Anolis sagrei: one gene and its partners. The protein of the gene in region 2 interacts with the protein of the main gene of each other region in a pairwise test. Links are inferred from orthologs where the notes say so. Each region holds a gene or a part of one and is shown on either strand. Other genes may lie near its edges.

Region 1 (10,437 bases), on a different chromosome or scaffold from region 2:
AAAATCTGGATTATATGGCAGTGTAGATGGGGCCTCAGACTGAGGCTGATGAGAGTTGCAATCCAGCAGCAACATGAGGGTGACTAATCTCTCGCTCTGTTTGTAGGTCAGACAATTATAAGCACTCAGATTTCTGCACACTGGCCATTTTAATGGTACAATTGCATGTCAAGTAGAAACCTACAGTAAAGTAATACTGAATTGTTACAGTGACACACAAGCTTACAATGGGAGCGGGGAGAAAGGGATTGAGAAAACAAAACATTTATTTAGCACAGCTGTGTTTTATAAGAAGTTCCACAGCTGAGGATCATGCCCTAAAGGAGAACATTAAAATGACACGAATCAAAGTGATTTATTTATATGAAAGTGCACCTTCTTGTACAAGAAAAGGAAAAGGGAGGAATTCACTCCCATGCCCCATCTACACTGACTATATAATGCAGTTTCAAACTACGAACATTATATGGCAATGTAGATGAGGCCCCAATCTCTATCTTCAGAAAATCCATCATGACAATTACATTGACTGTCAAAGTAGACTCTGAAGTAAATGTTATTCCAAAAGAATCCAGCAACTGTTTCCTACCTAGCAAGCGGAATATCCTTCTTAAGTGATAAGGAGAAACTTCCCTCCCCTTATTTCTGTTACTTAAATGAGTGATAGTGAACATATTGCCATACAGGCAAAGTAGCACTGCTTGCCAAAATTACTCCATACCACCCACTAGCTTTAGTGATTCTGGTTTCCTCAGTAAATAAATAAAACAGACAACCTGAATAATGGCAAGATTTGGGCCAGCTGGCTGAAAGCTTGGCTGACAGGATACTGCTGTGTTTGCCAAACTAGATTTAAAGGAAACCCAAGGCACTTTTTAAAATATATATAGGAAACTATGGTATTTGGAAATGATCAATTACATTAATGATACATCAATAACATCTATGGGTTTCAAACTATCAAGTCACATGAAAAAGGAAACATTTTTCTTCTCTGTTTCTTAAGTAAACTGGGCAACAGCAAGAACAATAAAGAAGCCCTCCTTCCATGTGTGACTTCACAATATATCCAACTACAGACAGATGTAAAAGTTTCCATGAACTGGACCATAATTTCTTATGATAGTCTGGTTTAACAGTTACAATAGAATACTCAAATGCAAGCCAAGCAGAATTATATTTCAGAAGTTAGAAATAAGTTTTACTGTTTTCATGGAAATTTACTTTAAGTAGGAATAATTTCAAAATCAAAATTGGGAAGTATGGATAGGAATACAAATCTGAGTCATAGCCCTATTACACTATGTAACATAATTTGTGTTCCTGGGTTATAAATGACATTTCCTAATTGGTTCTATCATAAAACATGGGGAAAGTTTATTGAACTGCAAAAACTTTGGTTTTTTTTTGGGGGGGGGGAAATCCTGCAACACATTTTGCTATAGTTTTTCAATGAATAGTCTCTCAACCAATTTAACATAGTTGGTGGCAGACACAAAAATGCAGTTTCTGAAACATAACAACTACTTCCAAAGTAAGTACTGCACAACAAAACAGGAAATAACACTTTCAAAACAGGAACAGATTTTTTTCAAATTCTATTTGTGTTAGCAGTAACCAAAAATTATTAATCACATTCTGATACAGTTATTCATTTATAGTGTTTCTGAATGTAGAATGATGGATTCATGCATAGAATAGAAAACTCACATTCATGTGGATCTGTAGATCTGACCCAATATATAACATTAAATCCTATTTCAACTATTTCAACTGGTATAATTCATAATCAGCCTCATTGAAGTCAAGAGGACCAAAGCTAAAATGTGGTCAGAGCATTGGGAGTCAATTATGTCAACTTTACATACCACAATTTCTTTAGAAGTTATGATATTTCACATCTTGAAATGAGCATGATTTTTTCTTTTTTTTAATTGCCAAGGTTGAGATTGAGGAAGGAGCTGAAATGAAGCATATTAAATGGAAGTTTTTTTTAATTGTGTCAGAAGTGACTTGAGAAACTGCAAGTCACTTCTGGTGTAAGAGAATTGGCCATCTGCAGAGCTGTTGCCGAAAGGATGTCCAGATGCGTTACCATCCTGTGGGAGGCTTCTCTCATGTCCCTGCATGGCAAGCTGTAGCTGACAGACAGCTCACCTCATCTCATGGATTCCAACCATCCACCTTCAGGTTAGCAGTTCAGTCAGCACAACGGCTCCACCCAGTGCACCACTGTTGCTCCTAAATGGAAGTTAACTAGATATTCAAAACTTAACCATTCCTAGTTAAATGGAAGTTAACTAGATATTGAAAACTTTTTCAGAGTACAGGAAAGGAACAACACTGAAGGCACGCTCAGCAAAATATGCTATTCTTGTTAATTAAGGAGATCCACGATCCCACCATGTGAACACTAATATCACATTCTTTGACTTACCTCAATGTATGGTACAATTTTGCAAGAAAAATCATCCAGCAGCCACTTTTTGGTGAGTTCTTGAAAGATCACCAGTGGCAAGCAGAAGAAAATGATGAGGAAATCCCAAAAGGCTAGGTTGGCCAGCAGGGAGTTGGAGATGCTCCTCATGTAGTAGTTGTGGCACACTATGCACATCACAGCCATATTGCCCATGATCCCAATGCCAAAGATCACTATCGAGAGGCACATGACCGCGTAGGCACCATACGACTCCTCCGTCAAGGGGTAGAAGGGATTCTTGACCCGACCTGGGCGGAGTGTCCCATTGCGTAGGGCACCAGCATCTCTCTCCACAGCACCAACTGTGGAGCCATTCAAGGCCAGCGCCTGAGGGAGATCACTCTCTACCTCATGGGTACTTTGGTTGTCTGTGAAGTTATAAACATTTATTGCGGGGTGGACATTCTTGAAAGCCTTGGCTTTCCCTACTCGTCCTTGGTCCTGGAGCTCAGTGGCACCTCGCTTAAGTCTAGCATGTCTCTTGGAACTAATCCCTGTACTATGCCACCTACTTTCTGTCTCCTGCAGGAGATCAAAGTCTCTTGCAGTTTCCAAGGCTATAATAGTGTCTTTGTTGACATGCTTCTGGCTATGTTTTCCCAAGGAGACAACAGGCTGTGGCACGGCTTCTCCATTGATACTCCAATCCTTGGCATTGTTCGAAGAAGTCCAGTCCTGTGGAGTTGGAGCTGTAGAGCCTTTGGATTGTCTGCTCTGAGCCGAAGTTTGAGCCATGCTTTCCACAGCCCAGACAACTTCTTGCCCATTTGCTTCTTTCCGCAGTGGTGGCAGAGAGGCCCGGCACCATGCTCCACACTCCTTGCCCTTTCTGCCAACAGGAGGGCCATCTCCTCTGGAGGGTGCCTGGGGCAGAGCTGCTAGGGCAGAAAGCCTGCCTAGAAGCCATGCCAAGCCAAAGAGTGCCTTGATGGGATGCATGTTTTGGAGTACAGCTCTGTGCTGATGCCCTTTTATTTGCAGCAGAGCCCCCGGTGGTGCCGGCAGGACTGAAGACCAACAGGTTGGAGATTCAAATCCAGGGTGAGCATGGATGAGCTCCCTCTGTCAGCTCCAGCTCCCTATGCGGGGACATGTGAGAAGCCTCCCTCAAGGATGGGAAAACATCAAAACATCCAGGCGTCTCCTTGCAGACAGCCAATTCTCTCATTCCAGAAGTGACTTGTAGTTTCTCAAGTTGCTCCTGACATGAAAACAAAATTTGCAGCAGATGAGGTTGCCAGGTACAGAGTAAGGATGCCCTTTTATTTGCAGCTGATGAGGTTGCCAGGGCCAAACATCTCCTCTAAGGCTGGAGCAAAGAGAAAGGCGACTTGGGTGATGAATAAATAATGTCTTTTATTTCCACAAGAGGTTGCAGGTTCCAGTCACATCCTTCACAGAGGCCAGGCTTCCAGGAGTCCAGAAAGGGAGCAAATCCAATCTCATGTTCATAGAAAGGCAAAGAAGGGCTTCGTTATCCGATGACAGGAAACGGTTTCCCCTTGGGTCCTGAAGGCAAGGCAGCCTCTCAAGAGAAGACCTTGGGAAGTTAGATCCAGGAAGGCGGCGAGAGGTACTGGCGGGGCTGGGCGAGCCCACACTCGCCCCCTGAGGCCTTGGGGTCGCCCACTTGGCATCCTGGCCAGCATCTCTCCCTCAGCCGGTGGTTTTGTGGCAGGCAACGCTCCGTCGGGCGAAGCAACGCTGCTCCATCGAGAGAGAGAAAGCGGACCGAGGCAAGGCGCGCAAAACCTGTCCTGTTCTTATGATTTCTCCTCACAAACACAACCCCAAAGCACAGCCTGGAAGAACTGAATGACAAGCCCCTCCTGTTGTGTTTCTCCCTGCTCAAGGGAGGTCTTCAAAGTTGCTCCCAGTGCCCGGCAGCAACTTGAGGGCGGGAGAAAGGGAGAAAGCAGGCAAGGCAGCTTGCCAGCAACGTGTTGCTCCCTCTTTGCCTTTTTGCCAGACAGATGGGCACCGAATAGATGGGCGAAAGGGGGCGGGGAGGGGAGGCGGACCAGGCGCGCAAGGTGGCTGCTGCTGCGCTTCCTCGAGGAAGGGAACCTGTCCCCTTGCCCTCCTTCTTCCCTTCCCGGGTGTTTCTCCTCCAGGCGCGGCTTTGGGACGCCTCCCGCGGAGCCCCCTCTCGCCACCTCCGCTCGCGCTTTGTGGCGGCTCCGAGTCAAGAGAAGGGAAAAGGCGAGGAGAAAGGGAAGGAGAAGAAGAGACGGGAGGCGTGCGCACTGCGCAGGCGCGGCTCTCCAGGGGCGCCTCAGCCTCCGCGACGCGTCTGCCTCTCTGCGCTACTTGCCCCAGTTCTGAGGCGGAGGAGAATAGGAAGCAGGGAGGGAGAGAGGGAGAGAGGGAGGGAAAACGCGCGCCAAGGTGGCTTCCAAGCGTTGCTCAAGAGGATTACAAAACAAGCCCTCCCAGTAGCAACACTGAGGGTTGAGGGCAAGGAGGGAGATGCATTTCCTTTGCCTCCCCCTCCCCTTTCTTTATTTCTTACCATTTCTTCTGGAATGAAGCTTATTTGAATCCCAACCTACCTCAAAAGTGCTGAGATTCACTTCAGTGAAGGGGAAGCCCTACATAGCAATCCACCACACCCACAGCAGCTGAAGACAGGGCATGCACAGCCTCATTGAGACAGAGGGCCCTTCCACACATATCCCAGAATATCTAGGCAGAAAATTATTATTATTATTTATTAACTTTATTTATACCCCGCAAAATCTCCCGAAGGACTCGATGCGGCTTACAAAGGCCAAGGCCGCCGACAACAACATAAAATACACAATAAAACTCATAAGCAAATAATAAACGTCACACAAACAATAAAACAGTAAAACGATGACACCGTGACGCAATTAAAACCTAAAGGCCAGGCCAAATGTAATAGACAAAATTTAAAAGTGCTGAACTTGACAGGTAATATGTAGAGGTATTTGGAGGTAGGTGCAATGTGCAGATAATCCCGAATCTCTAACAAAGTGCATTTGGGACTTGATGCCAGGAGTTTCCTATTCTGGAAAGGCACACTGGAACAGCCAGGTCTTCAGGCTCTTCCTGAAGACTGCCAACATTGGGGCTTGTCTGATGTCCTTGGGGAGAGAGTTCCAGAGTTGGGGGGCCACCACAGAGAAGGCCCTATCCCTCGTCTCCACCAAACGCGCCTGCGACACAGGTGGGATCGTGAGCAGGGCCTCTTCAGATGATCGAAGGGAGCGTGCGGGTTCATAAACGGAGATGCGGTCACACAGGTAGGCAGGTCCCAACCCGTTTAGGGCTTTGTAGGTAAGCACCTGCACCTTGAATTGGGACCGGAAAATGAACGGCAGCCAATGGAGCTCCTTCAACAGGAGGGTTGACCTCTCTCTGTAGGGAGCACCAGTTAACATCCTGGCTGCCGCCCGCTGGACTAGCTGAAATTTCCGAGCCATTTTCAAGGACAGCCCCAAGTAGAGCGCATTACAGTAGTCCAATCTAGAGGTGAATAAAATCCCACATTATATGAATATGGACTCAAATAATAATAATAATCTTTATTTGTACCCCACCACCATCTCCCCAATGGGGACTTGGAAACGGCTTGCATGGGGCCAGGCCCGAACAACAATTACAATGAACAAAATCAAAACACAACAGAAAACGCAAACAATAAACAACATCATAATTACATTTTTTTTGTCGTGTCAGGAGCGACTTGAGAAACTGCAAGTCACTTCTGGTGTGAGAGAATTGGCCATCTGCAAGGACGTTGCCCAGGGGACGCCCGGATAATTTGATGTTTTTATCATCTTTGTGGGAGGCTTCTCTCATGTCCCCGCATGACAGCATTTCTCAACCTGAGGGTCAGGACCCCTAGGGGAGTCGTGAGGGCGCATCAGAGGGGTCATCGAAGACCATCAGAAAACACAGTATTTTCTGTTGGTCAAGGGGGTTCCGTGTGTCAAGTTTGGCCCAATTCAGAAAACTCTTTGATTGTACGCAAACTATAAATCCTAGTAATTACAAATTCCAAAGGTCAATGTCTGTTTTCCCAAAACTCCACCAGTGTTCACATTTGGGCATATGGAGTATCCATGCCTAGTTTGGTCCAGATCCACCATTGTTTGAGTCCACAGTGCTCTCTGGATGTAGGTAAACTACAACTCCAAAACTCAAGGTCAATGCTTACCAAACCCTGCCAGTATTTTATCTTGTTCATGGGAGTTATGTGTGCCAAATTTGGTTCAGTTCCATCATTGGTGGAGTTCAGGGTGCTCTTTAATTGTAGCTGAACTATAAATCCCAGAAACTACAAATGACTCCCCCCAACCCCACCAGTATTCAGATTTGTGTGTATCGGGTATTTATGCCCAGATTGATCCAGTGAATGAAAATACACCCTGCATATCAGATATTTACATTATGATTCATAACAATAGCAAAATTACAGTTATGAAGTAGCAACGAAAGTAATTTTATGGTCGGGGGTCACCACCACATGAGGAATTGTATTAAGAGGTCATGACATTAGAAAGGTTGAGAACCACTGCCGCATGAGGAGCTGGAGTTGATAGAGGGAGCTCATCCGCCTCTCCCTGGATTCGAACCTGCTACCTGTTGGTCTTCAGTCCTGCCAGCACAGGGGTTTAACCCACTGCACCACCAGGGGCTCCATCATAATTACATAAAACATATGAATACATAACAATATAAGAATTACAATAGACACAGGCACAGAGACAATGGGTGGGCTGCATGTAATGATTAAAAACAAACTAATTAAAATTAATTAAAAACTTAGACAAGATAAAAGAGAGAAGCAGATAATATGTGGAGTAGTACTCATTATGGCGGGGGTTGTGGAGTCAAGCTTTCCCATAAGTGGGGGGGACGTCTACTCCAATGACAGAACTTTTAGCTAAACATTCACGTGAAATTGTATACCTACTCATCAAAGGCACAGTGGAAGAGCCAGGTTTTAAGGTTCTTCTTAAATAAATAACCCAGTTTAAAGCAGATATTGTGGAATTTTCCGCCTGGATATTCTGGGAAATAGAACAAGGTTCAGGGATTAAGAGTCTATACCGTAGTACAAAGATTCAGGGTTCCAAGAGTACGGGAGACAGGTCAGGATACCGAAAATCCACAAACCTGGGGGAAAACCAGCATCATCTATCACCAAAATAAAACAAATACTTTTCTCCCAAAGATCAATCCCAAGGCTAGCTCTTTATATCCAGAAACACCCAGCTGCAACCCATCTCTTGCATACCTCCACCTTTAATTGCTTTCCCCATGAACTCTTACTTAAAGATTACTCAACCATTAACTGCAGAACATGATATATGACAGTGTGGAAGAGCCTTCAGATAACCCTTCCACACAGCCCTATATTCCAGATTATCAAGGCAGAAAATCCCACAATATCTGCTTTGAACTGAGACCGGATCCAGACAGGCCTTTATCCCAGAAGCATCACCAAATATGGATGTTTCTGAGGGCCTGTCCACACCCACCCCAGAAGGTGCACACTAGCCTGAGAGAACGTATGGAGGCCCTACCCCCTCCCCTCAAGCCCTCAGACCCCTTAGAAAAGTAATAAAAACTTATGTGGCCTCCATTAGAAGCCTCGGCAGGCTCTCTCGATGCATAAAAATGAGAGAGCGGGGGGGGGGGGGGGGGCAATTTTCCTCCATCCTCTCCCCCCAGCCCCGCTCTCGTGGTGTGCCATTTCTACACGCCAGAGAGCTGGTCAAGTTTTTATTTTCTAAAAGGTCTGGTAAACTGTGGAAATACTGTCTGGATCAGATAAACCAGTTCAAAGCAGATATTGTGGGATTTTTTGCCTTGATATTCTGGGCTATATGGCTGTGTGGAAGAGCCCTGAATAAATCTGTTTTGTGTTTGGGTGCTTGTTTTTACTATACCACATTCTTCGAAGTTTATCACATAAATGTGCTATGCCATAGCAATTTTTTTTGTGTCAGGAACAACTTGAGAAACTGCAAGTAACTTCTGGCCTGTGGGAACTGGCCATCTGCAAGGATGTTGCCCAGGAGACACCCTGATGTTTTGATATCCTGTGGGAGGTTTCTCTCATGTCCCTACATGAGAAGCTGGAGCTGACAGACGGGAGCTCACCCTGCTCCCCAGATCTGAACCGTCAACCTTTCAGTCAACAGTCCTGCCAGCACAAAAGTTTAACCCTTTGTACTGCCAGGTGCTCTTGCCATAGCAATGACATGATTTTTTTCTGCTATCAACAATCCTGCCATTACCTAAGCGATCCCTAGCAGTCCGAGGATGATGGTTCTCCAAGTGTGGTGTCCTGGCAGTGGGTCCGTAGGTGACTGTGGAGCCCTATTCTTGATCTGAATCTTCTCCCACAGTGAGGGCATTGGTTTCCAGGTGGAAGGCGGTCTCTGTCGGGGTTAGCTTGACTCGCCTTCCTCTTGGCACGTTTCTTTCGCCCTCCATTCACGCCTCTTCAAATTCTATAGCACTGCTGGTCACAGCTGACCTCCATCTGGAGCACTCAAGGGCCAGGGCTTCCCAGTTTTCAGTGTCTATGCCAGAGTTTTTCAGGTTGGCTTTCAGCCCATCTTTAAATCTCTTTTCCTGTCCTTCAACATTCCGTTTTCCATTCTTGAGTTTGAACTGGATCATATTTGTCTACACTATTATCCAGTTCAAATCAAATAATCTGGATTTTAAATGGCAATGTAGAAGGGGCTGTCAAATCATTTCTGACTTATGGTGATCCTAAGGTGAGACTATTGCAATTTTTTATGTGGCTAAGTAGCTAACTCGCCCAAGGTCACCTAGTGGGTTTCAATGGTGAACTGGAAAATTGAACCTGACCCCTCGAGTTGTAGTCCAATGCTTAAACACTAAACTACTCTGACCCTCTAAAAACAACAGTACTAGGAAAGTATGCTGAGATTTCTACTTCAAGATTGTTCTAAAGCTTCCAATTACATGCCCTCCCTTTTTGAAAATCCACTAGAATGAATTGCTCCATAAATAATCCTCAGATGCTCTTTTCTTCTCTTTTGACAGGACTGGATCATGCTCATCTCCTATCCTACGTCATACGACTGGACTTTGAATGCATGCCCTAGAACGGTGTCCATCATTCCCGTTTCCTGGCCTAAACATTGCCAAATGTAACATTAGCATTGCGTGATTCATAGTCCAAAGCATCACTTCTGGTGGCACATGACCCAGAAGTGCCATTTTCAGTTCCTGTCATGGCTGTGTTTTGTCTGTGCAACACGCTCATGGCTAGTCTATAGATGCTGAACTTTAGTTGTGCCATTGGGTGATTGCAGATCAGTGATAAACATTTACTGTATTTTCCCAAAGTATAGATGTTGTCATTCCAATATTTTAATTTTCTGAATGCCCTAGCATGTGTACTTGGAAATAAATTTCAATGAAGTCTATAATGATATAGGATGCAATAGAACTGATGAAAGTGATAGGAATTTTGTCCACAGGTTTTTTTATGCCAAGATGGCTTAGTTAGCCTGCAAACCAAACAATTTTTAATTCTCCATTCTTAAAAAATAAACAGTTTTTCCATTTGCATTCTTTAAAAAAAAGCTTACAAGAAAAGAAAGAGACAAAAATATACACAGCATTATTTGTCTTGCTGCCGGTTTCTTTGTGCTCAGCTGGTATGAAAGGAGGTAATGATCATAATGAGCTTGCACTCACAATTCTGCTCTTCCTCAAGACTCCCAAGGGGTAGGTTGCAAATAGATATTATGAATGTATGCTATTTTACAAAAGGATATTCTCTCAAATATAGCAAGAGAGATTTTGCTAGCCTACTTCTAAGGGGCACCTGGATGTATTTCATTATATTTTTGCTGTGATGTTCACCTACCTGCCCCCCCCCATTGTTTTTGTGGAAATAAGATACAATACAACAGTCTTATCCATGAATTCAATATTCACAG
Region 2 (10,866 bases):
TTTACCTTGCAAACATCACCAATGAAGATGTGGGTCATTTGAAAGTTTGTTTTGCATTGTGCTCCAAATAAAAATCCCGACTTCAAAGCTTAGCCTTTCTCACTGTTGGTGTCTCTCTTTCTGCAGACATGCAAGAGTATTGGCCTTCCTCCACTTACGACCCACACCCCATCATCCCCTCTTTTCCTGCACCTGTTGACTCATGTCTGGGTATCATCTTCCGCTTTGGCAGCCCTTGAAAACTGGCAACTCGCATAAAGCCCACCCATAATAAGAAAGGAAAAGTGACAGTCAAAAAGTCTATGAAACAAGCTAAATGGCAAACAAATGATGACTGGACAGAGCTGCACCCGATCTTTCAGTTTTGCCAGAGAACACACAAGAGTTTTTCCTCCATAGACCAAATAATAATAATCAAATGTTATTTTGAAAGGTTGGAATGACCTCTCACATTAAGCTCTGACAGAAGCAGCTCTCTGGAACATTTCCAAAGTTCAGTGGGGTTCTTTCACCTTTCTCTTCAGATCTGGCCAGCCAAAGTACACAACTTAAAAAATAACCCCACCCACCCCCAACCTGGCCATTCCTCAGACAGTACTAGAAATGTCACATAAAAATACATTTTGCCTACTAAATCTCCTGGGATAGTTTCAAAAGTGTGTATAAAAATACTGATTGCCTTGAAATGCATACTTAATGAATCATCGACTTTGTTACAACAAGTCTTCCTCATTGGGAAAAGGCACCTCTTTTCCTTTCATCTCTTTTTGTTCCGCTCCCTTCCCCTCCCATGACCAAAAATGGAAGTTAAACTTTGACTGCCAGGTGAGGGAGCTCTGTGCCAAGAAAAGGGATCACAAACAAGCTGCTTTCAAACATGGGATTGTGAATGACAGAGAGCTGCATCCAAAGCTGCAACTAGGAGTGGGGGAAGTGGAGGAGAGTGCCCATAGTCATATGGCTGACTGGTTTTCTTTCCTAGATCCGTCAACATGCACTTGGGCATCTCTCTCTCTCTCTCTTGCTCTCTCTAGCTCTCTCTCACATACACACATGCAAAGTTGCATGGCCTCACAGAGATGACACTATAGCCCTTCAACTGCCTACACTTCTTAGTAAAGCTTTGATTCAAATGGGGATGCAAAGAGTTTTCAGAATTTTCAAGAATTTTTGGATTCCTGGAGTATCCTAATAGCTCCAGCAACATTTTCTTTTGAGATGTTTGTTTAACTTAATTAAAGGAAGAGGTGGCAAAACATACACCTACTCAGATCAGAGAATTACTTGAATAGCTATCGCAAGTGGCACACAACACTTCTACATCTTTGGTAATCAGGGAAATTTTCTTGAATGGTGCCAACACTGATGATTTTTGCATGTTCTTACAGAGTATATGACAGACTGATTTCATAGAGGCCCAGCAATGCTCACAAAGAGAAGTGGGAAAAGACAGGCTGTATGGCCATGTTCCAGAAGCATTCTCTCCTGATGTTTCTTCAACATCTATGGCAGGCACCCTCAGAGGTTGAGGGGTTGACCTCTCAACCACTGAAGATGCCTGCCATAGATTTGAGTGAAATGCCAGGAGAGAATGCTTCTGGAATATGGTTATACAACCCAGAAAACTCACAGCAACCCACTGATTCCGGCTATGAAAACCTTCAACAACAAAAAAACAGCTGTTTGGACAGAGAAAACTGGACATAGTTAGGGAAGGAAATAGCTATACTCCTCAATGAATATGAATTGTTAAGAAAAATATAAGCTCTTAATAACGATTAAACACCTCCAGGCAGGGACAAGCACACTATGTACTAGCTTAGCAATATAATACAGATAACCTAGATCAATCCCATATTTATTCCAGAATTCACCGCTTCCAGGCTGCTGTAGACTGCAATTTTTTTATTTAAAAAAGAAGAAGAGGAGGCATTTCTTGGAAGGGAGTGGAGTATTTACTTTTGTCATTATAGTGTCATGCCCTTAGAATCACTTACTAAACTGAAGTTGTTAGCCAAGGTCCCTTAAATGGAATTGCTTGCAAATTACTTGCTGGTCCAAGACTAGCAAAGCACTGCTTGGAGCAACCATAATTTTTGCCTTCCTGTCATGCCTCAATGGGAAGTCACAGAAGAGGAAATGAAAGCATAGGCACAACAGGTTACTGAACAAAACCTTCAACAGAATCAAAACATTGTTTTATATTATCACAAAAATTGGACTTCCAAATAAACTCCAAGAGTTCAATAAACCACCATCGGGATGGATCACAGCAACCGCTGCAAAACATTTTGTTTCATGATTTTAAAATAAGGACCCACACAAGTTCCTCACTATTTGCCTTGTATCTGCCAAGAGTCTAAATATGGAACTATGAGCCCTGAATGAAGAAACCCGTGAATATTACTACTGGTGCAATATGATAAATGGGCGATGAGGGTGGGCTAGTTACACTGCAAGGCAACTCTCAGCTTCTCAATGACATAAGCCCTGAAGATGACAATTAAAAACAAATTTCAAAGTGGTATTTCACAGGGTGAAATACATTGAAAAACTAAAATAACGTGGTGCTAAACATTATGTTTGTTGTATTTGTATCAGCTATAATTAATAAAGATTTTGGAGGTTCTCCTTGAACTGATTTCCATACAATGTTTAAAACACGACACATTCAAATAACTTAAACAAAAGGTAAACATTGACTTTACAGTATTCCTAAATCTGTCAGATTGAGCTTGATATCTTTGCCTTAAAGCAGACATGTACAAACTATGACCCTCTAGGTGTTTTGGACTTCAACTCCCACAATTCCCAACAGCCTCAGGCCCTTTTCTTTTCCCCCTCAGCCACTTAAGCAGCTGAGGGGGAAAAGGAAGGGGCCTGAGGCTGTTAGGAATGGTGGGAGTTGAAGTCCAAAACACCTAGAGGGTCATTGTTTGCACATGTCTGCTTTAAAGGAATCCTTAGAGCCATCATCTTCTAAAGAGGGGATGCGTCATCAATAGCACCAAATTCTTTCTCAAGCGCAGGGATTTCACTTTTAGGCAGCTCAGCTCAGTGCTTGCAATTCCTACACCTGTGAGGTAGATGAACATGGTGACACTACATCACAACAAAGAAGTTCCTTGGAGGACAAGGCCCAGCAGTGCATTTGCTCTTAATGGAAGAAGGAGCTCTAATTGATATATACGCAAATCCAATCATGCCCTTCCTTAAATATTGGTATAACCATAACATGCCAGCGTGGGATCTCTTCCTGCATTTGGGACCACTGCAGTTGTCCAAACAGCTGTTCTATTTCCCATTTTACATGTCATTACCATCAACAGCCATGGTCATCAACCATGTCCCATCCCTGCAAATTAACGTTACCATGCAACACAGTACCTTTACAATGCAAATGCTCTTCCCCAGGAGGAAGGCTGTCTTCTTCACAGAGCAATTCACAGGCCTTTTCTCGCCCCGCATGAAAGCTATTGTGATCCCCAATGAAGTCATTTTTTCCAGTGCTATTGGAATACCCGTTGATGTACATTTTCAAGGCAGACCTCCGGAAGCAGAGGATCTCCTGGAAAGCATACCTAAAGTCTGGGCTACGGCAGTAAATTAAGGGGTTGAAGGCAGAATTGACATATCCCAGCCAGTTCAAGATCACGTACAGGGATTTGGGGATCACGTGTTCATTGATGGCATGCACAAAGTGGACAATGAAGAACGGGAGCCAACACAACGTGAACGTGCCCATGATAATGCCCAGGGTTTTGAGAGCTTTGTGTTCTTTCAAGCAAAACTTGGACACTCTCCTGTGACCGGCTCTTCCTGCATTCTGTTCCTGTTGGGAGCTCTGCTGGTGGAACCGGCCCTCGCACTTGTCTATCTTCTTGAGCTGCTTCCGGGCAACCTGGAAGACCCTCCCATAGACAAAAACCATGACCACCAATGGCAGGTAGAAGGAGATGACGGAAGAAATGATGGCATAGCCTCCATTGATGAAGAAATCACAACAGTTTTCATCCTTGTAGCATTTCTCAGCCTCAGGGATGTCAGCTTTGTCCCAGTCCATCTGGATTGGCAAGAAGGAGGTCAGAATGGAGATGACCCAAACCAACAAAATGATCACCCGGGCTTTATTCTTGGTCAGGTGGCTTTGATACTTGAAAGGGGAGGTGATGGCAAAGTAGCGGTCCATGGCGATGACGCAGAGGGTCTCAATGCTGGCCGTGACACACAGCACGTCGATGGAGGTCCAGAGCTTGCACCAGATGTTCCCAAACTTCCAGGTGCGCTGGATGATGTGGCTGGCACCAAAGGGGATCACCCCCAGGCCCATCAGGAGGTCGGCACAGGCCAGGGAGGTGATGAAGTAGTTGGTGACGGTCTGGAGCCTCTGGAACTTGGCGATGGCGGTGATCACCAGGACGTTGCCAAAGACGATGGCCAGCACGATCAGGGACATGAGGATGCCCATGCCCACCACCCAGGTTTCTTCCGAGGCGGTGGCATTGCCCGAACTGGGCCCTCCGGAGGGGCTATCGTTCAGGCTCAAGGCGAAGGGCAGGAGCGGGCTGGCGGGGGAGCTGGCCACTTCCATGGCGCCTCCAGGAGCCCAAGTCAGCCTCGGGCGGCTCTGGCTTCCCGGCGGCCGCGACGAAGTGCCGTTTGGAGGCGCGGCGGGACCGGGCCCCGCATGTGGCCCTTGCCTTCCAGTCCGTCCTTCCTCCTTGCTTTCCTCCTTCCTCCTTCCTTCCCGCTCGCGCCGCGCCTGCGGATCCCTCGCCCGCCGAAGAACTTGTCCCGGCTCCCGTTAGGTTTAGGGGAGTTTATAGGAACTCCTAATTGTGACGTCAAGCCGCCCCCAGCCAATGGGCTGCCGGCGCACGGCCACCCTCCGAGCGCGCGACACCCGCGCAGCCACGCTCCGGGATGGGGTCCCGCCCGTCGGTCCGGCTGCCGCCCGCCTGCCTGCCTGCCTGTCTTCCTTCCTTCTTTCTTTCTTTCTGCGGGGATCGCCGAGGGAAGAAGGAAGGCTGGGGGGAAATGGCTGGCTTGGCCGTTGGGAAGAGGAAGAGACCTTCCGTCCGATCCTTCCTTGCTCCCTTCGGCACCTGATCCGAAGCCGGAGCTGCTTGGGCTCCGGCAAAACCGCCCGACAGAACAGGAGGAAGGAGCCCGCGACGGGGAAGCAGGAAAGCAGGAAGGAAGGGGCCGGGGCGCCGCGGCGGAAGCCCTTCGCCTGGAGTCTGCCAGCCCGAGCTTCTCCCTCCACGTCCATTCCTACTTGGCGTCCTCAGAGGATTCCACGGGCTTCATCCTCCGCAGGACCCTTTGGGAAGTGAACTCCGGGGCTTGGTGCCCCGAGGGATGGGCGGGCGTGCGGGTGCGGGGGACTCATCTAGCCCTGTCGTGGCGGGAAAGCGTGGTGGGAGGCTTTCTACTCCTGTGTGCATGGCCGGACCACCAATGTATCGCACCGATGGTGTGTTCGTTTTTGTCAAAGTCTACACTGGGCATGGGCAAACTTCGACCCTACAGGTGTTGTGGACTCCAACTCCTACCAGCTGTTGGGAATTGTGAGAGTTGAAGTCCAAAATACCTGGAGGACCGAAGTTTGCCCATGCCTGGTCTACACGTTAATCTCTGCAGCAGTATCTCCTTTGGAAATCTGCAAACTCTTCTTGGGAGGCATCTTTCCAGAGAGTATTTGTTACACATCCTTCCAAGATGGGCAGTGCTGAACCAGACAGGCCCTTGTGGGCTTTTCCAACTTGAAGGTCCCATGAATCTATATCTGTCTAAGCAGAATGTAAATCAGGGATCCTCAGACTAAGGCCCAGGAGCCGGATACGGCCCTCCAAGATCATTTACCCGACCCTCGCTGAGGGTCAACCTCAGTCTGAAATGACTTGAAAGCACAACAACAACAATCCTATCTTATCAGCCAAAAGCAGGCCCACACTTCCCACTGAAATATTAATAAGTTTATATTTGTTAAAATTGTTCTTCATTTTAATTGTATTGTTTTTAAGTGGTTTTTGCACTACAAATAAGATATGTGCAGTGTGCATAGGAATTCATTCATTTTTTTTCAAATTATAATCCCGCCCTCCAACAGTTTGAGGGACTGTGACCTGGCCCTCTGTTTAAAAGGTTTGAGAACCTCTGCTGTAAACCATTCACACAAGCAGACCCCTCACAAGAAACTTAGGGCAGTGGTAAAGTGGCTGGGAATTCTGGGAGTTGTAGGCCAAAACACCTTCGGACCCACAGGTCAAGAACCACTGATCTACAGGGAACTACTTTTTCCTGTTCCGAAAACTGCATGTTTTTCTCTTTGGTCCGACAGTGTATCTACACTGGCCACTTCAGGCAGCTTCAAACTGGTGCTGAAGAAAGTGTTTTCCCTGTGCAGATGATCATTGATCACCTAGGATATCCTAAAACCAGAAGGAGGCCGGAATGGCAATTACACAAACAAGAGAGCACTGGTGCACATTGATGATGACATTGTTATGGATGCTTTTGTGGGAGTTGGTTGTATAGCCACCTCAGTTTAGCTCCAAGCTGCATTAAATGGTCAGTGTAGGTGCGACCTGAGAGAAAGACTGCGGCTGGATCTACACTACTCTGTATCCCAGGATCTGACCCCAGATTGTCTGTTAGTGGAGACTTGTATAATCCTGTTCAAAGCTGATAATCTGGAATACAGAGCAGTGTAGATCCAGCCTGTGTCACCCTGCAGTTTTTTCCAACCACCCTTTTTTGACCTATGACAGGCCTCATATTTATTTAAGCATCATGTCTGCATTTATTGCTGCAATGTATGGACAGAAGTGCCTTGAGGTTGCCACAAGTTGGAAACATGAAGACATACAACAACAAACCTCATGGGACCTCAGTGAGATAATAACGGAGAGGAAGACAATTGGAGCTCAGTTGGTGGTGCATGAATGTCATAAAAATGGTTTCTAAAATAATAGTTACTGGGCTTTTGGGTTGCCACATTTGAAGTCCCTACTTGAATAAGATGCAGAGGCTTTTAAATGGAGCACAACCCCAGTATCGGTTGAGAGTATATTTCTGGACTTTGCATATAATAATAATAATAATAATAATAATAATAATAATAATAATAATTGCTAACCCTTTTTTAAATGAATAATTTTTGGCCCAAGAAAACTGTAAAGTCTCTCCAGAGAACCTAGCCAATGGCTAGAGAGGACATATTTTGTCAGAGAGGGATAAACAAAACACCAGGAAGTCATACTTACTGTATTTTGTGTTTCTCAATAGCTGCTATTAACAAGAAGTACAATGAGATTGTGCTTTTCCTTTTCTAAAGTGTAAAGATCAATTCATTAGCAGTAAAGTCATGAGGGCTATATATTACCTCCTGCGTGCTTTTTATGTTTGGGAGAATTTATGTTTACTTGCCTGGGGTCTTTTATTAAACATCTACGGTTGGCAACAGAAGAAAACATTGCCTCCCTAGGTGTGACATTTTGGACTTCATCTACCCTGCCTCTTCTTATGGCCTAAACTATTTATTGATCTCTCATTCATTGCAGTTATTATTGGTTCCTTTCTATGACATTCCTCCTGCATAGTCAAAATCCATGAATTCAGTCATTCAAGCTTTCTCTTAATCAAGTCATAATTGTTTAACTGTTCCTTTCTTCCATTGTATATATACATTAGCTCCTATCTGATACTTGTATCCAAGCAGGGCCAGCCTTGGTTAGTACTTGGATGGGAGACTGCCAATGAAAAAAGAAGCTGCAGGCTATATTTCAAAGGAAAGAAAGGGCAAAATTGCCTTGAGTATTCCTTGTCTAAGAAAACCACAGAAAATTAATGGCATTGCAATATGTCAACTGGCAAAGTGTACACACACATGCACATCACATATTTAACACCCACACTATCCTCCATCTCTCCACAACTTGCCATCCTGGTAGATCCTCCTGGTAATGACCTGCCACTACAGAATGGAAAATTCACAAGTGAACATATGAGCTTTTAAAGGTCACTACAGAATATGAGTTCATTTTGCAGCTACACAAAAATGGAGTCTCTATTTGTATTCTAGTCTTTTGGGATTTGTCAGTGAAAGGGAAGAATAATTTAACAACCCAGAAATAATGTGGGTAGTTCATTCAAAAGTACTTTTCTTTTATATACATATTTATTTATATCCTGCTTTTTCTCTCCATACTCAAAGTGGCTCACAACTAAAAGTATTTCAATACAACTTAAAATATACAAATATTAAAACAGCATTAAACAACATTAATATTAAAACAATCCAGGTTAAAACCATAAATGCATATAAAATAACACCACAAAATCACAGCAGCCCTTGAAGGTTTTAAACACCTTCATCTTTAACAGCCTGCCTGAATAAAAAAAAGTTTTAGCCTGCTACTAGAAGGACATTCTGGCTTCCCTGGGAAGAAGGGAGTTCCAGAGTTGAGGGGCAGCCACCAAGAAGGAAGGCCCACTCTCTCGTTCCCACGAAACGAGCTTGAGTTGGATGTGGGACCAAGAGAACGGCCTCTCCTGAAGATCTCAGAGTCCAGGCTGGTTCGTACAAGGGGATGCAGTCAGTCAAATAGCCTGGACCTGAACCATTTATGGCTTTAAAGGTTTGATCAGCCTCTTGCAGTTCGATCAACCACTTGCCCTCTCGACCCGTGTCCCTCTTGGCTAGTTAAATTTTGCTTGGAGGGATTACGTGGTCCTTTGTTGAATATAGTAAATGGCTCTCTTGAGCAAGGAGTTTTTCCAGAGACCTGTTTGATCAGCCAGGAAGGATCTGGAATACACGTGGTAGCTCTCACCTCTCCAAGGATCCTGTCCACACCCTCAGACTGCAAAGACTGAAAGGTTTCCATCAATACTAGATAAGCCAAAGTTACATCCACTGGAACTGTATCAATAACAGCATCCATAGTCGCTCTGAACAGATCTGAGTGACTATCTGCAAAATGTTGTGCAAATTCTTCACATTGGGCTGCTGAGTAATCAGGGATTTCTCCTTGAGGAGCAATATGTAATAGTCCCCTGACTACGTGAAACAGCTGAGCTGGTCAGTTCTTTGCAGATGCAATGGTAGCAGCAATTAATGATTTCTCTGCTGCCCCCTTTGCCATGAAGTAGGCTTTCAAATACCCTCTAGCCTGTGCTCAGTCAGATTTGCTTTGAGTTCTCCACCAACATTGCTCTAGTCTCCATCTCACTTGCTCTATAATTACCAACTCCTTGGAAAACCAAGGGGCTGGTTTGGCTCTGCTCCATGAGAGGGGACATTCATGATCAATTGTGTCTACTACCCTGGCCATTTCCCCATTCCAGAGGTGAGCCAGAGCCTCAACAGAATCACCTGCCAAGGTGACAGGAAAATCCCCAAGAGCTGACAGGAACCCATCCTGATCCATAAGTCTCCTGGGGCAGACCATCTTAATTGGTCACACACTCCTTTGAAGTTTGGAGTCCCAGCTAGTCTAAACTTGACCAGATAGTGATTGGTCCATGACAATGGAACTGTGACCAATTCCTCCACACCACCATCACCATCATCCTATCCTGCACAGAAAACAAGATCCAAAGTGTGTCCAGCAGCATGGAAAGGGCAAGACACCATCTGGGACAGACTCGTGGTTGTCATAGAGGCCATGAAGTCCTGAGCCACTCCCAATGGAGCAGTCTCAGTATGGAAGTTGAAATCTCCCAGAACTATTAGTCACTGAGACTCCAATGCCAACCATGAGACCACTCCTGCTAGCTCAGGAAGGGAGACTGTTGAGCAGTGGGATGGGCGTTACACCAACAGAATCCCTATTCTGTCCTGTTCCAATACACCCCTCCTGCCTGGTCAAAATCCATGTATTCGGTCATTCAAGCTTTTTCTTAATCAAGTTGTAATTGTTTTCCTGTTCCTTTCTTTCATCGTATCTATTACACACATGCACGTGGGGGCACACACACACACCTCTATGTGGAGATCAGTTGACATGTAACACAATATTTACTTGGTGTTCCAAGTAGGGAAATATAATAGGCAGCACCTTATATTAAGTTCCAAACCTTTGTTAATTTATTATCTTTCCAAAGATCAACATAAGAGATTGAGAGGCAAAATGCATATTGAATTCTGCTTGCATATGAAATAGAAAGGTACGATAAAAGTTATTATTATATCTGATTTCATTTTTCCAAGGAGTACATTTAGAAAGTAAGCTTTTTGAAAAGTGCTATGAAATAGAGTTGAACAAGACATTTTGACTTTTTCAGTTCTGTGCAGTGATCAGTTAGGGAGCAAAACTAATCAGATTCCTGTTTGATAGACACTCACTAGACACAGAAGACCTAAAGTAAGACACAGTTCCATGATAGCCATGTATAAATATGTGAAAGGATGTCATAAGTAAGAGGGAGAAGGCTTGTTTTCTGCTGCCCTGGAAACTGGGATTGGAGCAATATTTCAAATTACAGGAACTGAGATTCTACCCGAACATTAGGAAGAACTTTCTGACTGTAAGAGCTGTTCAGCAGGGGAACTCTCTGCCTCAGAGTGTGGTGGAAGCTCCTTCCTTGGAAGCTTTTAAACAGAAACTGTCGTGGGCTCTTTACGGTACTTTTCTTGAATGGCAGGGGATTGGGCAAGATGGCCCATGTGGTCTCTTCCAACTATATTCAATATTTTGGTTATTATTTCTATTTTGATGAATACCTTGCACAAGAACAGGAGTGTCAGGAGACAAGACCAGCAAACATGGATATAGATCTTCATTAAATCCATGTTTCATGAGTTCAGGGAGACATAAAATGCAGATATGTTATTTAATCAATAAATCTAACTGGAACAAG
Region 3 (11,061 bases), on a different chromosome or scaffold from region 2:
TCTTGAAACATGCAACAGTATCTCAATGCAGTACAGAAAAAAGGGAACCATAACACCATCAAAATGGTGAAAGGTTGCCTGGCAATCTGACAGCCTGCATGTAAGTGGGGGACAGACTGTGAGAAAGCTCACAAACAAACCTTCGCTATCTGTGAGCACTTCCATCCGGCCGCTGAACATTGCCTTGAGCATAGTGTCTTGTTTGGTGAGGGTTTGCACGGTGGTGTAATGCAGGGACCCTCCGACATTCAGCTTGACATACTTGCTGCTGGGGTTCAGGGGCTTGAGGTCAAAGGTCACACCGGCTACCCCTCCGCCGCCATCCCGTCGTTGCTGGGTTGGGACCAGGGGTGCGCAATTCTCCAGGGAGGAGGCCTGGTCTGCGGTGGCTTCAGCTGACATAGCCACCTGAACAAAATAGAAAATTCAACAGAGAAATGATGAAACACTATGTTTCCCGCAGAGCTCAGATTTGACTGTTTTGGGCAGGAATGCAGAATGTGTCACTTTCTAGATGTTGTCAGAATGTAATTTCCATCATTCAGCGTCATTAGTGCTGTGCCGATGGCTGTTATTTTAGATCAGACATGGGCAAACTTTGTCCCTCCAGGAAATTGTTTCAATTCCCACAATTCCTAACAGCCAGTAGGGACAAAGTCAGTCTATCTGTCTGTCTGTCTATCTATCTAAAATAGGCATGGGCAAACTTTGCTCCTACCAGCTGTTAGGAATTGTGGGAGTTGAAGTCCAAAACACCTGGAGGGACAAAGTTTGCAAATGCCTGTTTTAGATAGATAGATAGATAGATAGATAGATAGATGGATAAATAGAGATAGATTCCTAACAGCTAGGAGGGGCAAAGTCAGTCTGTCTGTCTATCTATCTATCTAGCTATCTATCTAAAATAGGCATGGGTAAACTTTGCTCCTACCAGCTGTTAGGAATTGTGAGAATTGAAGTCCAAAACACCTGGAGGGACAAAGTTTGCCAATGCCTGTTTTAGATAGATAAAGATAGATAGATAGATAGATTCCTAACAGCTAGTAGGGGCAAAGTCAGTCTATCTATCTGTCTGTCTGTCTGTCTATCTATCTATCTGAAACAGGCATGGGTAAATTTTGCTCTTACCAGCTGTTAGGAATTGTGGGAATTGAAGTCCAAAACACCTGGAGGGACAAAGTTTGCCAATGCCTTTTAGATAGATAGATAGGCAGGCAGGCAGGCAGGCAGGCGATACCCTGCTTTTCTCTCAGGACTTATACCCAAAGCAATGGCAATTCAGTAACATTTAGAGAGTGAGTCAGAACCAGGAAAGTTAATTTTAAAAATTGTTTTAATTCCTTATTGCCCACTGCTGTTACTCATTACAGCGTTAAAGAGCAAGTCATGCCTACTGTATTTATTGTTTCATTTCTATTGCTTTCTTAACTCACTATGAGAGGAAAGGCTTTTAAGACCAATAAAGATACAGCATATAATCTGGAGAAAAAGTTTTTTCCCTTTCTGCAGAAAAAAACACTCTGCAAACCTTCAAGCCAATTTCAAAAAATTTTCTGTCCCCCACTGCCACCAGCTTCACACTGCGCCCAACACTTCCACTTCTTCAATGACATCCCATCCTGGACCTGTCTGCTCATCACCAGTTGTAGGTCTTCTATAGGAAAGGGGGTAAACTTCAGGCTTGTGGGTTTTCTTTGATTTTTACTAGAATCTGGAGGTCCGTTTACCAAAATCAGGTGAAAAATGTCACTTCTGGCATGTACTTATACTAATAGTTAAAAATTAGAGTGGCTCTGAATATATTCTTCCTCCAGAACCAAGGCTACATGTTCTCTGTCACACACAAAAATGCATTCCTGGCTTTCTCTTGAATATTCTAAGACTTATTTATATATATTCTTCTTAGACAATAAGGGATCAGAAACCCATTTAAAAATGCTGAAAAATTACCCAGAGATCTACTAACACATCCCAATTCACCTTCTGTCTGACTGGCACATTCCTGCTATTCCTAGCAGGAAATGGGAGATTTACACTCATCTTTGTGTCCAATGCCCTTTGGCTCAACAAACCTGCCTCAGGCTATTGTTTCCTCCTATTGCCTCACCTTTACCCATCCCTGATGCAACCACACTGGGAATTAGTCCTGACATTTCCATGTCTTCATCTATCAACCACCTGCAAGCTGGGTTGTTGTATTTTTTTTTTCGGGCTATATGGCCATGTTCTAGAGGCATTCTCTCCTGAAGTTTCGCCTGCATCTATGGCAAGCATCCTCAGAGGTAGTGAGGTCTGTTGGAACTAAGAAAATGGGTTTAAATATCTGTGGAAAGACCAGGGTGGGACAAAGAACTCTTGCCTGCTGGAGCTAGGCGTGAATGTTTCAACTGACCACCTTGATTAGCATTTGATAGCCTGGCAGTGCCTGGGGCAATCTTTTGTTGAGGGCTGATTAGATGTCCCTGATTGGGTTGTTGTAGGTTTTTTCGGACTATATGGCCATGGTCTAGAGGCATTCTCTCCTGATGTTTTGCCTGCATCTATGGCAAGCATCCTCAGAGGTAGTGAGGTCTGTTGGAACTAGGCAAAAGGGTTTATATATCTGTGGAATGACCAGGGTGAGACAAAGGATTCTTCTCTGCTGGGGCTAGGTGTGAATGTTTCAACTGACCACCTTGATTAGCATACAATGGCCTGACTGTGCCTGGGGCAAACTTTTGTTGAGAGATAATTATATGTCCCTGCCTCTTCCTCTCTGTTGTTGTGCTGTTGCAATGTTGTGCTGTGGCTGACTTTCTTGGTGGCTCTGTAGATAGTTTGTATGTTGTCCCTGATTGTTTTCCCTCTACTGTTTTGCTGTTTTAATTTTAGAGTTTTTTAATACTGGTAGCCAAATTTTGTTCATTTTCATGGTTTCCTCCTTTCTGTTGAAATTGTCCACATGCTTGTGGATTTCAATGGCTTCTCTGTGTAGTCTGACATGGTGGTTGTGAGAGTGGTCCAGCATTTCTGTGTTCTCAAATAATATGCTGTGTCCAGGTTGGTTCAGCAGGTGCTCTGCTATGGCTGACTTCTCTGGTTGAAGTAGTCTGCAGTGCCTTTCATGTTCCTTGATTCGTGTTTGGGCGCTGCGTTTGGTGGTCCCTATGTAGACTTGTCCACAGCTGCATGGAATACGGTAGACTCCTGCAGAGGTGAGAGGATCCCTCTTGTCCTTTGCTGAACATAGCATTTGTTGGATTTTCTTGGTGGGTCTGTAGATAGTTAGTATGTTGTGTTTCCTCATCGGCTTCCCTTCCCTAAGTGGTTCCCTTGATATATGGCAAGAACACTTTTCCTCTGGGTGGATCTTTGTCTTGACTCTCATGGCTTGCCATAGGGCTTGTTCTCCAGACCCTTGATCATTTTCGTTGCCCTCCTCTGGAAACATTCCAGCTTGTCAATATCTCTCTTGAATTGTGGTGCCCAGAATTGGACACAATATTCCAGGTGTGGTCTAACCAAGGCAGAATAGAGGGGTAGCATGACTTCCCTGGATCTAGACAGTATGCTCCTATTGATGCAGGCCAAAATCCCATTGGCTTTTTTTGCCGCCACATGACATTGTTGGCTCATGTTTAACCAGGTGAAACGTCAGGAGAGAATGCCTGGTGAACCTATGACACTCGTGTCAGCACTGACATGCATGGCTATTTTTGATGACATGCAGACACAGAGACATGCAGACACCTTATAAGAACTAAACTAATTCCATCCCTAAATTTGTAAAAGGCTCTACAAATTTAACATCTGCACATTTGAGCATTGTTCGCTCTATAACTCAGCATGGATTATACATTTTTTCTTATTTAAACTATAAATATTGCCATTTTTTTCTTGAAGTGGCACCCCACTCAAGCTATGCTTAGGTTTTTGGCGAATTCTGACACACCAATGGCAAAAGCTTGTCGAACTTGGCCATACAGCCCAAAAAAACGTACAACAACCCAGTGATTGTGGCCATGAAAGCCTTCGACAATATACCTGCAAGCTGTTGCTTCAACTAGGTTCTTGTGGGTTTTTTCGGGCTATAGAGCCATGTTCTAGAGGCATTTCTCCTGACGTTTCGCCTGCATCTATGGCAAGCATCCTCACTACCTCTGAGGATGCTTGCCATAGATGCAGGCGAAACGTCAGGAAAAATGCCTCTAGAACATGGCTCTATAGCCCGAAAAAACCCACAAGAACCTAGTGGTTCCAGCCATGAAAGCCTTCGACAATATGTTGCTTCAACTCTTTCTAGATACATAGCCTTGAGGAATGAAGAACAGCAAGTGCATGTTTGGGTGCATCTACCCTGTAAAATTAATGGCAATTTACCCCACTTTAACCACCAAAGCTCAATGCTGTGGAATCCTGGGAGTTGTAGTTTGCTGCACTCTTTGGCAGAGAAGGCTAAACACCTTGGAAAACTCCACAGCATTGAGCCAAGACAGTTAATGTGATGTCAAATGGTGTAGATGCAGCCTTTGTGTGTGTTTAAGTGGCTGAGGGGGAAAAGGAAGGGTCCCGAGGCTGTTAGGAATGGTGGGAGTTGGAATCCAAAACAACTACAAGGCCCCAGTTTGCTCATGACAGTTAAGGTGGTGTCAAACCGCATTCACTCTACAATGTGGATGTGAGGGCTGCCCTCATCCCAACCAATGCTTCTCTCTCTTTCCCTGTCTCCTTCCTTCTCTTTCTTGGCTTCCCAACCTGAGGCCACTTCCTGCCCTTCGACCTCCGGCCCAGAGTCCGTCCCCCGCTTCCCCCGCCGACGAGGCCCACTCACCTCCAGCCCCGCCTGGATTCAAGGCCTAGCGACCAGCCTAAGAGACGTCCAAGCCCCTGAGGGAAGAAAGGAGAGGAGGAGAGAGGCCACGGCGCATGCGTAAACTTCCCCGCCTTCTCCCTCCCCTAGGGGTCTCTCTCTCTCTCTCTTTGGAGAACGTGAGCAGCTACATCCGGGTACCGCCCGTGTGAAGCAAGCTGAAGCCCAACAACACACGAGGGTATTGAAAAGGAAAGAGAGAGGAAGAGAGAACGGCGCATGCGCAGAACGATTTTTTTTTAACAGCGAGGGAAAGGTAACGGAACGCAGAGAGGACCAAGATTATTTCAGGGCGCATGCGCTGGAGGTAGTGAGAAGTTTTTGTGTTGTGTAAGAGGCAGTATTCTATAGAGCAGGCCTTGGGCAAACTTGGGCCCTGCAGGTGTTTTGGACCTTCAACTCCCACAATTCCTAACAGCCTAATAATAATAATTATGGCCACATCATGAGAAGATTTATTTATTATTTATTATTTATTTATTTGCTTTATTTCTATACTGCATTTTTCAGCCTAATTAGGCAACTTAATGCGGTTTACACAATACAGGTTATCACAACAATATCCTAAGCGATTAAAACACATAATATACAGCAGACAAAATCAAACAATCATTATCATATCATAACGCCTCAATAACAAATCGGAATCCGTTCTCATAATCCTTGTACCATTTCCTATGTTCAATTTTACCGTCTTCCTGTGTTCAGTTGCACTGTTTAGCCAAACGCTTGTTCGTAGAGCCAGGTCTTAACCTTCCTCCAGAACGCCAGCGGCGAAGGGGCCTGTCTGATGTCTACAGGTAAGGCATTCCATAGCCGAGGGGCCACCACCGAGAAGGCCCTGTCCCTCGTCCCCGCCAACCGCACCTGTGACGCAGGCGGGACCGAGAGCAGGGCCTCCCCGGACGATCTTAATGTCCTAGTCGGTTCATAGGTGGAGATGCGTTCAGAGAGGTAAGTAGGGCCAGAACCGTTTAGGGCTTTATAGGCTAACGCCAGCACCTTGAATTGTGCCCGGTAGCAGATTGGCAGCTCCAGGAAATAAAGCCCGACTGCTCACTGGAGGGAAGGATACTAGAGATAAAGTTGAAGTACTTTGGCCACATCATGAGGAGGCAGCAAAGCCTACAGAAGACAATTATGCTGGGGAAAGTGGAAGGCAAAAGGAAGAGGGGCCGACCAAGGGCAAGATGGATGGATGGCATCCTTGAAGTGACTAGACTGACCTTGAAGGAGCTGGGGGTGGTGACAGCCGACAGGGAGGTCTGGCATGGGCTGGTCCATGAGGTCACGAAGAGTTGGAGAAGACTGAACGAATGAACAACAACAACATGAGAAGAAAGGAAAGCTTAGAGAAGACAAATATGCTGGGGAAAAGGGAAGGAAAAAGGAAGAGGGGCCGGCCAAGGGCAAGATGGATGGATGGTATTCTTGAAGTGACTGGCTTGACTCTGAAGGAGCTGGGGGGTGGCCACGGCCGACAGGAAGCTCTCGCGTGAGCTGGTCCATGAGGCCATGAAGAGTCGGAAGCAACTGAAAGACTCTTCATGCTTTTGTATCACTTTATAAAATTGATTTGAGAAGCTGCCAACCCAGCCTTGCGATGACCTTTGCCCACATTTTTCCTGCCCTGGGAGGATCAGCCAACATCTTGCCAAGCTTCCTTTGCATTTGATTGGATTAAATCAGCTACCTCCATGCAACCCATAAGTCCCAGGTGACACAGAGGTCAATGGGAGCCCTGGAGGACCACCCAACCTTTGTGTTGCTGCTTGGACAATAGGTGACATTTGTCATTCTGGTATGGAGTTCAGTCATGAGAAACCATGCAACTGTCTCGGAGACTAGGATGTGGAACAATGGTTTCAAACTACAAGAAAGGAGATTCCATCTGAACATTAGGAAGAACTTCCTGATGGTGAGAGCTGTTCAGTAGTGGAACTCTCTGCCCCAGAGTGTTATGGAGGTTTCTTCTTTGGAGGCTTTTAAACAGAGGCTAGATGGCCCTCTGCCAGGGGTGCTTTGAATGCGGTTTTCCTACTTCTTGGCAGGGCGTTGGAAAGGCTATTTCCCCCTTTTTCGTTTCCAGGACAGAGAGAAATCTACATCAGAGGCAGGCAGTGCTCTCCCATTGGCTAAAGTGTGCCAGACTCCCACCTCCGCAAGGAGAGCTAATTGACGTTATCTTGGTTTGGCCAATCATGGCCAAGCTGGGGATGGTGGGAACTTTGAATCAGACTTGTATAAAAATGCCTGTTTTGTTGTATTTCAGCTTATTTTGGGGGTGGATTACTGCAGGCTGGCATTACTTTCAGCTAAAATTAAATAAATACCTCGGTGGGTTCTGCTTCAACTTGGTGAGATTTATTCTGGAATATTGGCTGCTTTTTCTTACCAGGCTTAACCCACAGCGGCTTGGATCTCACTATCCACTGCCGTTTTAAATTGTTCGACAACACATACACCAAACACAGGATACAAAAACCAACCCATAGTGGTAATATAATGTAAATTCAAAATTCATGATCCAGAGTTTACAGGGAAGACCTCTCGGAACGGAAAGGTCTTCAGTTGGGTCTTAAATTGGAGTCAGCATCCACCAAAAGACCACAGTGTCCTAAAGGGTAGGTTCTATGGGAAAAGGCGATCCTGTAGGTAAGGACCCAAATCATGTAAGGCATTAAAGGTCAAAACTAACACTTTATATTGTAGGGCTGACTGGCTGGATCTTCATTACCTTATACCCCAGGATCTCATCCCAGATTATCTGCTTTCAACTGGATTATACGAGGCTTCTTATAATCCAGATTATCAAAGCAGATAAAATAATAATAATAATCTTTATTTATAACCTGCCACCATCTCCCCAAAGGGGACTCGGGGCGGCTAACATGAGGCCAAGCCCAAAATAATACAACATAGTTACACACAGAACAGCAAAACACATCATAACAAAATATATAAAATAACAAATGACAATAACAATAAACAGTATAAAATAGCATAATAAAAGCAAACACAAAGGGCCTCATATAATCCACAATATCTGCTTTTAACTGAATTATATGGGGCCCCTTCTACAGTACCGTATAAAATTCAGACGGATTTGAACAGGATTATATGGCAGAGTGGATTCATGTTCTGCAGTTCAAAGCAAATAAGGTGGATGATCTGCTTTGATAATCTCAATTATATGGCAGTGTAGAAGAGGCCCGAGTCTACACTGCCATATAATCCAGTTTAAAGCAAATAATCTGGATTTTACATGGCAGTGTAGAAGAGGCCTGAGGACCCTTCCACATAGCCATACAACAGCAAGGCAGAATAACTCGCAGTATCCGCTTTGAACTGGAACACCTGAGTCCACACTAACAGATAATCTGGGATAAACAGGTAATCTAGGATCAGATCCTGGGTTATAGGGCAGTTATAGGGCAGTGTAGCTCCAAACTGTGTATGATAAATTGTTTTCACAAAAGTAGCTTTCTTTTCTGATGAAATGCAGATCAAAATGTTGAAAACAGGACAAGCTCACATTCCTATAAGGGAAGAAAGGAGGGAGCTTGGGGCTGAAAAGGGCCGCCTTCTAGAAAACAGAAATAAGGATATCACAAAAAGGCAAAGGAATAGAGGTGGAGGGAAGGGAGAGAAGGTAGGAAAGATGAAAAAACTACAAGTGAGAGAAAAGAGGGGTAGGTCAGTTATGGAAGTAAAGAAAGAAAAAGGGGTCCCTTCCCCCCCCCCCATCAGTATAAGTAATTTTTATTCATTTTACAAAAAAAAAACATAAAATCAAAATACAACACAAAACACATACTAAAAAGAAAACAGAACAAAACAAGACAAAAAAAGAAAAAGAAAAAAATTTGACTTCCATTCTTCTTCCTTTCACCCCATAATGAAGAAAAAGTTTCTTCTATTGTCCCGAAAACAAATAAAAATATGGTTCCTCAGTCTTTGTCAAAAATCTTATTTACCATCCTTGTAAATATAATCTTCAAAAACTGTCCAGTCCGTCATTTTTACTCCCTTTCCGTTGTTTGATTTTAATAAAAATGTCAATTTATCCATGTCCTTAATTTCCATTATTTTATCCAACCATTGAGTCTTTGAGGGAATCAACTCTATTTTCCAGAACTTAGCAAAGGTCATTCTCGCCACAGTCGCAAAAAAGTGAACAATTTATCAGCATTTAAATCTTTAAATAAATCCAAATCATATATTCCTAAAAGGTCTCATTGGAAAGTCAATTTTCAATATCTTTCTACATTCATTGTGTACCATTTTCCAATATTCTGATGTTTTTTCACGTGACCCCTACATATGATAGTACGATCACTCTTGTAATTTACATTTCCAACATCTGTTATCCATATTTTTATACATTATCCCTAATTATTTTTGGTGTTATATACCATCGATGTAACATTTTAAAGCAATTTTATATCAGAAGCATAAGTATATCTTAAAACGTTTTGTCATAAACTTTTGTCCATTCCTCTAAACTAATCGTTCTGCTGACATTTCTTGCTCATTTAATCATGGAGTTTTTTATCTCCTCCGTTTCCGTTGCCCATCCAATTAACTTATCATATATCTTAGTAATTGTTTTCCTTTCGGTATTCAATATATTATCCCAGAAAGTCTTTCTCTCTCCAAAACCTATTTTCTTTTCCAAATTAAAATATTCCTTAATTTGCATGTATTGAAACCACAAAACGTTTTTGAATTTTTGACTATTTTCTTCTTGTGTGTATTTTATTAAAATTAAAAAGCACAATAAAACCATAAAAACTAGAAATAGAAACATTTTCTACAAATTTTATTTATTTATTTACAGTATTTATATACCGCTTTTGTCACCCCTATGGGGACTCAAAGCAGTTTTACACATAGATAATGGCAAAAATACAGTGCCTTATAACTACAATAGTAAAACCACACTTTAAACATAAATCATATTAAAAACAGTACATCACCAAATATCAAAAGAGTTATTAAAAATACAAAATATTTTCCAGCAGGCCTGCCTAATCAATTTTTAACTATTCATTTTTGCTACAGATGCATCTTTTTGCCTCACTTTCCTGTATAAAAAACTATTTTTTCTTTGTTACATTATGAGCCTTGCCTTAATTACAAGACAAATTGCCAGAATGAGATCTCTCTCACACACACATACACACACACACATATATCAGCATATTAAACTGAAGCTAAACAAAATGGAAAACCAGTCACAATGAATTAAAACAAGGATATAGGGCTGTAGTTCTGCAGATCAGATCTGGTTACAAAATTTTTCCACAATGTTCCAAGATATTTGCCTGCAGGAAATACAGAAAAGAGGACAGAATGTTAAATCCTGCAACTATTCATACCAGACAACACACACACACAGTTGTGTAAACACATAAATGCAACTGTCAGGGTAATAAAACCATCCATAGCTCTTAGTTATGTCTGATCACAAGATCTGCTGGCTAGAAATCTAATACTGCCCTTCTGCGTTTCCTCTTGTAAAACAACTTCCGCTAACTGTATTTCTCATTGAGCATAATGGAGACAAGAAGACCCTGCTCCAAATTGACCTGCCTACAGGAAGTAGAAATGTGGCTCATACCTATAGTAATGTGCACCAACTCCAAAAAAGGCAGCATTTTAGTTTTCTCCCTTTCCTCACATCCTGTATTGTAAATCATATCAAAAATCTAAGCTACTAGGGGTTGCTGTAGTTTTCCAGGCTGTAATGGCCATGTTCCATAAGCATTTTCTCCTGATTTTTTGGCTGCATCTATGGCAGGCATCCTCAGAGTTTGGAAACTATGCAATTGGGATTTATATATCTGTGAAATGTTCAGGGTGGGAGAAAAAACTCTAGTTTGTTTGAGGTATTATTTGTCTCTATTGATTATTATTATGACATTTCCCTTATTTTACTCTATTATTATTACATGTATTATTTTACTCTATTATTACTGTTATTATTATATTTATTTACTCTTTATTATTGGAAGGATACATAAGCACATTTACATTGTAGAAGGTTAGAATAATGGTTTAATCAGAGTTGGACAGTCTTATCTTAAACTAGTTTTATGTAAATATTTAAAAACATTTAACCTGCGAATGCCTCAATTAATGTAATTTTATTGGTATCTATTTTTATTTTGAAATTTACCAGTAGCTGCTGCATTTCTCACACTTGGGTT

Evidence for each region.
Region 1: the proteins of ADRB2 (region 2) and GPR37 interact in a protein complementation assay, tested with the Homo sapiens proteins (2 studies listed by BioGRID and IntAct, with this or other methods). The link is inferred for Anolis sagrei from reciprocal best matches to the Homo sapiens genes ADRB2 and GPR37.
Region 3: the proteins of ADRB2 (region 2) and KCTD13 interact in a protein complementation assay, tested with the Homo sapiens proteins (2 studies listed by BioGRID and IntAct, with this or other methods). The link is inferred for Anolis sagrei from reciprocal best matches to the Homo sapiens genes ADRB2 and KCTD13.

What each region holds. Positions count from the first base shown.
Region 1 is NC_090025.1:127,039,685-127,050,121, reverse strand, and holds the start of GPR37 (prosaposin receptor GPR37), read right to left. Parts: upstream 4,784-10,437; 5' UTR 3,419-4,783; coding exon 2,438-3,418; intron 1-2,437.
Region 2 is NC_090022.1:101,798,373-101,809,238, reverse strand, and holds the start of ADRB2 (beta-2 adrenergic receptor), read right to left. Parts: upstream 5,336-10,866; 5' UTR 4,592-5,335; coding exon 3,388-4,591; intron 1,513-3,387; exon of another isoform or gene 6-1,512; intron 1-5. UniProt on the Homo sapiens protein: Beta-adrenergic receptors mediate the catecholamine-induced activation of adenylate cyclase through the action of G proteins. The beta-2-adrenergic receptor binds epinephrine with an approximately 30-fold greater affinity than it does norepinephrine.
Region 3 is NC_090026.1:17,155,148-17,166,208, reverse strand, and holds the start of KCTD13 (BTB/POZ domain-containing adapter for CUL3-mediated RhoA degradation protein 1), read right to left. Parts: upstream 5,018-11,061; 5' UTR 4,811-5,017; intron 409-4,810; 5' UTR 403-408; coding exon 141-402; intron 1-140. Other genes in the region: kinesin-like protein KIF22, read right to left, coding at 10,141-10,176. UniProt on the Homo sapiens protein: Substrate-specific adapter of a BCR (BTB-CUL3-RBX1) E3 ubiquitin-protein ligase complex required for synaptic transmission.